2 linked regions of the Arabidopsis thaliana genome follow. The protein of the gene in region 2 interacts with the protein of the main gene of each other region in a biochemical or structural test. Each region holds a gene or a part of one and is shown on either strand. Other genes may lie near its edges.

Region 1 (4,700 bases), about 15 Mb from region 2:
ATTTCAGCTGATAATTTTAAATGTTACGGAAAAAAATTCTGGATCAGTTTTAAATAATAAAAGAAAAAAAAATACGAATACATTTAACAAATATATGTCATCGAGTAAGATAACCTAAACTTTCGGATACACACACGTGTAAAAACAAAAGTACTTTGTTCAAATTCCAAGAAATTATTAACTGGAGAAAAACAAAACAAAGGATAGCGAAAATGTTATAGATAAGGCAAATTAAAAACCAATCTTTGACTACCCATTCGTTGTCATTTGATTAAATGATAAAATATAAATCATTGATTTAAAATGAGAGATAGAGGTAAAACAAAATATAGAAAAGTAGCATCAAATGGCTGTTAGCACGAAAACTATTGAGTGAAAGAAACCCTAAATCTTTAAGTTCCACTATAGAATTAGATAACGATCATAATATAGTGATATATTTGATATCTCGTCTCTGTGACTCCGTCTAATCTTTTGAAATGATGTCCTCTTCCTCACTTCACTTCATCAAAAAAAAAAATGTCATATATATGTATGCTTAAACTTTCATAAAAAATTTAATGATTTCAGTAAAATGTTCTAGGGTTAGATTATATTATAATATAAATTTCAAGAAAAATTCATTCGTAAATTTTTTTCATTTATGAAATACCACAACTGCATGAAAACTAATCAATGGATAAATACAGACAAAAAAAATTACATCAATACGTGATCTTATAAAACAAAATCTGAATATATGTATAGGGTCTATAGCTAATTTCAATTTCGATTATATTATATGCAAACTTGATGTGGATTACTTATTTTTCGGTTAAGATGTTTTATCTATGGTGGATTTACATAAAACTCAACAAATAATTTTGCTAAGTCCTTAAATTAGTTAGACATATTGGTGAAACCGACACTAAAAATGTAGATAAAAATATTAATTTATACATTATCCAACAAGGATTTTATCCAAATCGTGGTATCTATGTGATCTAATGGTTATAAGTGGAATTTAGGTGTTCTAAACATGCTCAATTAGTCAATTATATACTTCACTTTCCAACTCAAAACAGCATATTCCGAGCGAACAATATGGATTTTTATACTATAACACCCAATTTCTAAATTAAACAAAAATTGCGACCATTATATATGGTTCTATCTTTTAAAAACCATGGAACTAAATGATGAAACTATGAAGTTTTTTTTTCACAAAAAAAAAAAAGAAACTATGAAGTTTTTTACCCTATATTTTTTTTAAAAAAGATACTATGAAGCTTTGAAGCAGCTACTACGAGTTGTGTTTGTTAATGTTTCTGAAAACAAAAATAAATTGAAAAAATCTTTAGTCAACATCAACTCGTGTTTTTTCTCTTCTCCCATCGTTATAACGTCTTTTTGACAAATGACAAATTGCGCCTAACTTCTACGATAGACACGTGGACACGTGTCGTCATGATGTAGTTTTGTCCGTATGGAAAACGCTTTCCATGTTGTAACCTAAGATACATTGAACAGTTCCTTTGTCCTTTCAACTTCGCTTTTTTCGAAGCTCTTTCCCTTACCCTACCACAACATTACGCGTGTCCTTCTTATTACAACATTTGGCACATATACATTTCAGAAAACCCGTCAACAAAAAACACGTGAAATAAAATATCTCTTCCTTTACCAGTTCACATATTTCATGGTTACTGTTCAATCATTTCGCCAAAAAATCTTTTTTTTTTTGGGTACAAATTTGGCCAAATAATTGTTCCTTTATTCTGAAATTCAGTCCCCTACACGAATATATAGACCACCAAAAAGTACATGGACGGTTCAATGTTGATTAAATCGACCAAGATAAAGTCAATAATGTTTTGTGGTTTAGATGTCGTCTGGTTACTATATTGACAATAAACTTTGTAAATAAAAAATATCCTTAAAAAAAAAAAAAAAATCCTAAAAGGAAAATCGAAAATCATTTTTTTAATTTGTTTTACATTACTTAAATAATTAAATAGACAATCCTAGGAAAAAAATCTCGATTAAATTAAATATTATATGTGAACTCCAAATGTCTAAGCAGCAAATTTCCAAACATTCATTTGAATCTTATTTTGATTGGAAAATACTTTTAAATTTAGCGGAACATTATTGATAAATAGATGAATAAACAAATGTTAATAAAAAAAACCATTTAAAAAAAATAGTACGAGGAAGAGCTAAATCTACTCATGTAGGTTCAATGAACTCAAGGGATTGCATAAATCACGACGATCTAACTGACACACGTGTCAGAATTCAAAAGTGTTTATAGATAAACACAAAAATGGGTCCCATATTCAGTACACACGTTAATCAGCGGCGGTGGATTCACCTATACACTGCGTCCATATATAAGTAGCACGAGACCCAAACATTATTGTCAAAAATAAGAAAGAAAGAAAAAAATATGGGTATCCAAGAAACTGACCCGTTAACGCAATTGAGTTTACCACCGGGTTTCCGATTTTACCCGACCGATGAAGAGCTTATGGTTCAATATCTCTGTAGAAAAGCAGCTGGTTACGATTTCTCTCTTCAGCTCATCGCCGAAATAGATCTTTACAAATTCGATCCATGGGTTTTACCAAGTAAGTATATACTAATTGAAACCCTTCTCAAAAAATGTTTATTTTTCTTAACAGAGATTCATAATTTTCTTGGTTTTTCTTCTTTTGTGATTTATAGATAAAGCATTATTTGGAGAAAAAGAATGGTATTTTTTTAGTCCTAGGGATAGAAAATATCCAAACGGGTCAAGACCTAACCGGGTTGCCGGATCGGGTTATTGGAAAGCTACGGGTACGGATAAAATAATCTCGACGGAAGGACAAAGAGTTGGTATTAAAAAAGCTTTGGTGTTTTACATCGGAAAAGCTCCTAAAGGTACTAAAACCAATTGGATCATGCATGAGTATCGTCTCATTGAACCTTCTCGTAGAAACGGAAGCACTAAGGTAACAAATAAAATCTAAACATTAATAAATACTATATCTTATATTTTCTTCTTGTAGTGTTTTGAATGACCTATAATTAATATTCTTGTTAATTTTCTTTAGTTGGATGATTGGGTTCTATGTCGAATATACAAGAAGCAATCAAGTGCACAAAAACAAGTTTACGATAATGGAATCGCGAATGCTAGAGAATTCAGCAACAACGGTACTTCGTCCACGACGTCGTCTTCTTCTCACTTTGAAGACGTTCTTGATTCGTTTCATCAAGAGATCGACAACAGAAATTTCCAGTTTTCTAACCCAAACCGCATCTCGTCGCTCAGACCGGACTTAACCGAACAGAAAACCGGGTTCCACGGTCTTGCGGATACTTCTAACTTCGATTGGGCTAGTTTTGCCGGTAATGTTGAGCATAATAACTCGGTACCGGAACTCGGAATGAGTCATGTTGTTCCTAATCTCGAGTACAACTGTGGCTACCTGAAGACGGAGGAGGAAGTCGAGAGCAGTCACGGGTTTAATAACTCGGGCGAGTTAGCTCAAAAGGGTTATGGTGTTGACTCGTTTGGGTATTCGGGGCAAGTTGGTGGGTTTGGGTTTATGTGATGATGAAATGCTGACGCAATAAAAATAAGTCGTTAATTTTTGTCCCGTGGCAAATCTTATATGTATTTGAATTTCAATTCTTTTGGGTTAAGAGGGAGACTCATAGATTTAGATGTAGATTTGTAATCTTTCATGCATAGAAAATTTGACGAATAGATTTCGTAACTTTATTTTGTTGCTGTTTGGTTATCTTTGTATTGGTATAAATTTAGTGGATTGAAATTGCATATTGATATATTGTTTAGTTGTGGCTAGCTATACATGTAAGTTTAATTGTTTGAGCTATCCAAAAGAATATATTTAACTATCTCATGCATTTTTAATATAAGCATACGTTATGTAATCATAAACCTACATACAAATCTTTTCTGTTTACGAATATATAGTAACACACCACAAATTGAGAGACTTACTGTATATACTGTATTTGAAAAAGGAGCGTTGGGTTAGCTGAACTTAGGTGTGTAACGTGGGCTTGCTTGTTTGACCATCTTGACAAGAGATTGTAGAGAAACAGTTTATACCGTACAAGTTTCAAACACATGTTTATTGTGGGTCGACTAAATGCGTTTGCAATTAGGGTATGAATGATAAGAGTAAAACACGGAATACTCGATTTTTTAACTGTACCTAGGAAAATCCGACCTAATAGTTTAAATTTAATTTCTGACATGAATCATGTAAAAGTTTAAGAACATCTCTAATAAAGAGTTTTCAAAACATTAAAATAACGAAATAAAGAATTGAAAGTACCAAAAATAACCATTTAGTTCAAAAGAGGATGAGAATACTCAAAAAGGGTTTTAAACTATTCGAGATGTTCTTATTTTGATTTAGAGTGCGCGTTAACACAATCTCTAGTACACATTAGCCACATTGTTACTGAATATATGTGGTTCGCTGATCATACAATATAATTCTATCTCCTTCCTTTTTCTGTATCCTCCATGACCATTACTGCTTTTCAGAAGCTTTGACCATCCTTTGAGATATGTCTATTTTCTGATATTTACCAAATAACAAAGTGGATCGTCTTGACGAAAGCCCAAAAATTAATTATCTCTGTTTTTTTCTCCTCTAATAAACTAGTCTTCTTCCGTCGAGTCATGCACTCATACT
Region 2 (4,109 bases):
TTTTCAATCAATTTGGTTATAAGTACCCTTTTTCGAAAACGTAATATGGAAAATAACACCTTTCAAGAAACTATTTGGTAGACTATAACGATTTACCTATATATAGATATACTGAAAATCAAATGTTTAAGACAAGAAAATGTAGAACTAAAAGATGTATATCAATCCATACTTATGTGATAGATAAGTATAGCGTTTGCATATTGGTGCAATAGACGTATATCGGTGAACTTCCAGGCACAATGATGGACGTCTATACCAAATTACATGTGTCTAAATTCAATCAAATTAAGTAACATCGCAACAACTCTTGCATGTGTTATCATCTAGCACCTTTCCGATTTTTATTTATAAAAAAAAAAAAAAAGACAATCATGAACATAAATGGTCATTGATAACAAATTAGGCCTGGAGTACTGCTAACAAAAAAATGGTCAAGCCCATACAGTAGATTTATTAGGCCCAATAAGATCCAACAGAGATTAGTCTGATTGCTTCAACTATGAGTCTATGACAGCGACTTGACTTTCTGCTGCACCATTATTTTAAAATTGTGTTGTGTGGTCTCCCTTTGGCCACATGATGGCTTAAAATGAATGGTCTCTCCCGGTAATGGATGCTCTTTGCTTTTACTTTGTTTTGTCACCACACAATGCTCATCATCTAATTGGAGTTGGTAATCACCAATTAATTGAAACTCTTGCTAATTATGATATAGAGGACAACACATCCTTTTCGTCAATCACTTTTACGCCTTCCCTTTTTGGACATTTATTTCTTCTATTTTAAAAATTCCACGGCAATTTCATATTATATCAGTGGTAATGGTTTTGGTCTTTGCTTAATTAATGTGTTAATCAACTTTCTTAATCCCAACTTGTTTTGTTTTTTTTTATCAGTCGGTGGATTCTCATATCTTTTGGACGGCGAAATAGAGACTTCTTTTCTCCCACTTTCTCTATTTAAATATAAGTATAAACCCAAACTTATCATTATATATTATGCAAAATTAATACGTTGACAGCGCCGTTTACCATTTTTATAATACTGACTAAATGTTACTTATCCTTCACTCTTTCGTTTATGTTTCCTTCATGATGGTCATGTTTATCCTTTGTTATTCATCATGTACATTAAAAGTAATGTTCGATTCAAATTACTGTAGATGCGCACGTTTCACTTATTTTATTGTGACCTCTAAAAAAAACAAGAATATATACCAATATACCATTTTATTAGTTGGTAAAAGATAGAAATACTAATTTTGAAAATAAAAATTTAACCATTTCCCCAAATAAATGATATATAAGAAAATTTGTAGCTTATGCTTTAACCAATTTACAAATAATATTCCCGAAAATTCTGATGTTGTTTAGTCCGCTGTTTAAGTAGTTGCTTGCTATCTTATTTTAAAATTTTGGAGTATATTTTAATAAGGTAGAAACCGTAGATATGACATGATTATTGGGGGGTCCGAAACATATAAAATATGGAAGGTGGTGAGACAACAAGTTAGCGAGGATCGTGCAAAATCTTCATCATCAGATCAACAAATTGTTTTTCAATAAGAAAAAATATTCATCTTAAGCTATTATAAATTTGGTCCATTTTCATAAAATAATAAAAGGTAAACAATGCATGTGTACACAAAAGTTAACTTAATATTATATATTAAATATCTCAAATATTTCTCTACTTAAAATAAATTTTAAATAATTTTAGTTTCATGTTTAATTTTGGGTTTTGCAAAAAATACCACAAAAGAAAGACACTGAAAGTGAAAACTAACGGGGAATTGTGGGCATAGACGGCAAAATGGAGGGGTCTGAATTAAAAAAGAGAGAGAAATAAGTGACGTTTGGTTTGTAATATAAAATCAGATCTGTAAAATACCAGATCACGTGTATAAAAAGATTTGGTATTTATTACTACTAACTTCATTTGATCTAAATTACATAATCGTCAGACTGGTAATAAAAATTGACAAAAATAGGTGGTCAAAATAATAATAAAAATCTTTGTATTCTTCTGTATTTTGTAAAAAAATATACCAAATCGATTAATATATGCAACATAATAATGATTTCGTACCATAATATAGCTTGAAATAAAATAAAAAATCAACTATACATCCACTTTATATATTTTAAATTAAATTGTATGGAAAAGTATCTTAAATAATTAATTTCCTTTAGTAATAAACCAAAATTAAAAGTCTAATTGACAGTTTAGTAATGAAATTAATAAAAGGTGAAAGTAAAGGAACACAATAATGTGTATAGGTTAAGCAAAGACAGCTATATATATAGAAAACAGAGAGAGAAGAAGAAGAAGAAGAAGAAGAAGAAGAAGAAGAAGAAGAAAGATGGGGCTACAAGGTCAGCTAAGTGACGTCTCTTCCGATTCAATCCCTCTTATGCTCCTCTCTCTCCTCGCCGTCTTCATCAACCATCTCCGATCTTTCCTCCTCCGTCTCACCTCTAAATCAAATCCTAATCTCCCCGTAGACGATGTCTCTATAGCATCGGGACTAGCCAACATAATCGTTCTCGCCGATCAGCTTAGTTTGAATCGGTTATTCTCGTACCGGTGCGGTGACGGAGGTGGTGGCGGCTCCGATTGTGTTGTGTGTTTGTCGAAGTTAAAGGAAGGTGAAGAGGTGAGGAAGCTGGAATGTCGACACGTGTTCCACAAGAAGTGTTTGGAAGGATGGCTTCATCAATTCAATTTCACTTGTCCTCTTTGTAGATCTGCTTTGGTTTCCGATGATTGCGTCTCTAAAACGCAGCGTAGCGTTGGGAGGGATTTGATCTCGTGTTTCTCTCTCCACTGAGTAAAAGATCGGAAGATGAAGAAGATCCGATGGTATCTGAGAGATCTACGGTGGCTGGCTGGTTCGGTTTGACCACGCGCGTGCGCCCCTTCTTTTCTCGGATTTTTTTTGAGGTCTCTTTCTTCTGTGAGAGGAGAACCTTTTGTTTGTTTGGTTTTTTTTTTTACTTTTCGATTTGGAATATGTAAATTTTGAATATACAAATTTTCACCGTTTGTATCTTTGTTGTTCCTTGCTGTTGAGTATATATAAATGGAGAAGATATCAATTCCAGTATAATTTGAAAAATCTTGCAAACTCAATTCATCAACACTGTGAATTTTGGTTATGTTTTTGTTCCTGTGAAAAAGATAAGAAAAGGAATTGGTAGATTTGTAGACGTATCTGGCCTTGATTACAACACCTCTCAGTATGTAATAATAACATGTGTAATTAAGGATGGTCGTTGGACAACAGTGTTAACACACTTTTTCTATATCAGATTCATGTTTTTTTTTAAACAGATTCATGTTTTATACGTCTTTATTGTACAGACGAACCAGTGAGGACAATCATTATTATTGAACTTTTTTGAACCATGAGTGATTTTTTAGTTGAAGATTCATCCCTAAGAAATTGAATCCCATCCACTTCTTTTACAAATTGAAGGAGTGGAGAAGGTTTATATTCCAATTTCAGTTTGCAATGTTTTTCATATGTAATTTTTTCCATTTGTATAAATTTTTTGGACCATCTCTCTTTTACCTTTAGAGAACTTTGTGGGCTTATTAATTTGTCACGATAACAAACAAGATGGGCTTAGAAATAATTATATCTCCAAACTGAATAGGCCCCGTTAACATTATAGATTAGCCTTGTTTTGGCTCCGAATGACGAGCCTTTTCTAATTCCACAACAAAATGTACTAATGTATCTTCAACATTTTTCTACATACATATACATAAAGTTGATTTTCTGCTTTTCTTAGCTTAGTTTACCAACTCAAAACGTTGTATGAGAGTTCTTTAGGTGAATTAAATGGGAAATGAGTCACAACTAAATATAAGCAGTTCAATTCCTCAAGATGCAACTCATAATAATCCATTTGATGTTAATAATGATACTACAGTGTCTTCTTTATTTGAAATGTAACTTTTGTTATATAGTAGTTGATAATACCATCACCACAAGGACACTCTTCATTTCATAAACATGAATATGAAAATAATCGTAGACTAATGAACACAAACAAACAACTAAGAGATATAAGATTGATTTTTTTCGGGTAAGGAAAAAA

The links. The genes of interacting proteins can lie anywhere in the genome.
Region 1: the proteins of RHA2A (region 2) and NAC019 form a complex in vitro, tested with the Arabidopsis thaliana proteins (one study listed by BioGRID).

What each region holds. Positions count from the first base shown.
Region 1 is NC_003070.9:19,696,173-19,700,872, reverse strand, and holds NAC019 (NAC domain containing protein 19), read left to right. Parts: upstream 1-2,390; 5' UTR 2,391-2,428; coding exon 2,429-2,609; intron 2,610-2,706; coding exon 2,707-2,975; intron 2,976-3,077; coding exon 3,078-3,581; 3' UTR 3,582-3,950; downstream 3,951-4,700. UniProt on the Arabidopsis thaliana protein: Transcription factors that bind specifically to the 5'-CATGTG-3' motif.
Region 2 is NC_003070.9:5,192,427-5,196,535, reverse strand, and holds RHA2A (RING-H2 finger A2A), read left to right. Parts: upstream 1-2,321; 5' UTR 2,322-2,365; coding exon 2,366-2,833; 3' UTR 2,834-3,252; downstream 3,253-4,109. Other genes in the region: AT1G15085 (uncharacterized protein), read right to left, coding at 3,682-3,759. UniProt on the Arabidopsis thaliana protein: E3 ubiquitin-protein ligase involved in the positive regulation of abscisic acid (ABA) signaling and responses to salt and osmotic stresses during seed germination and early seedling development.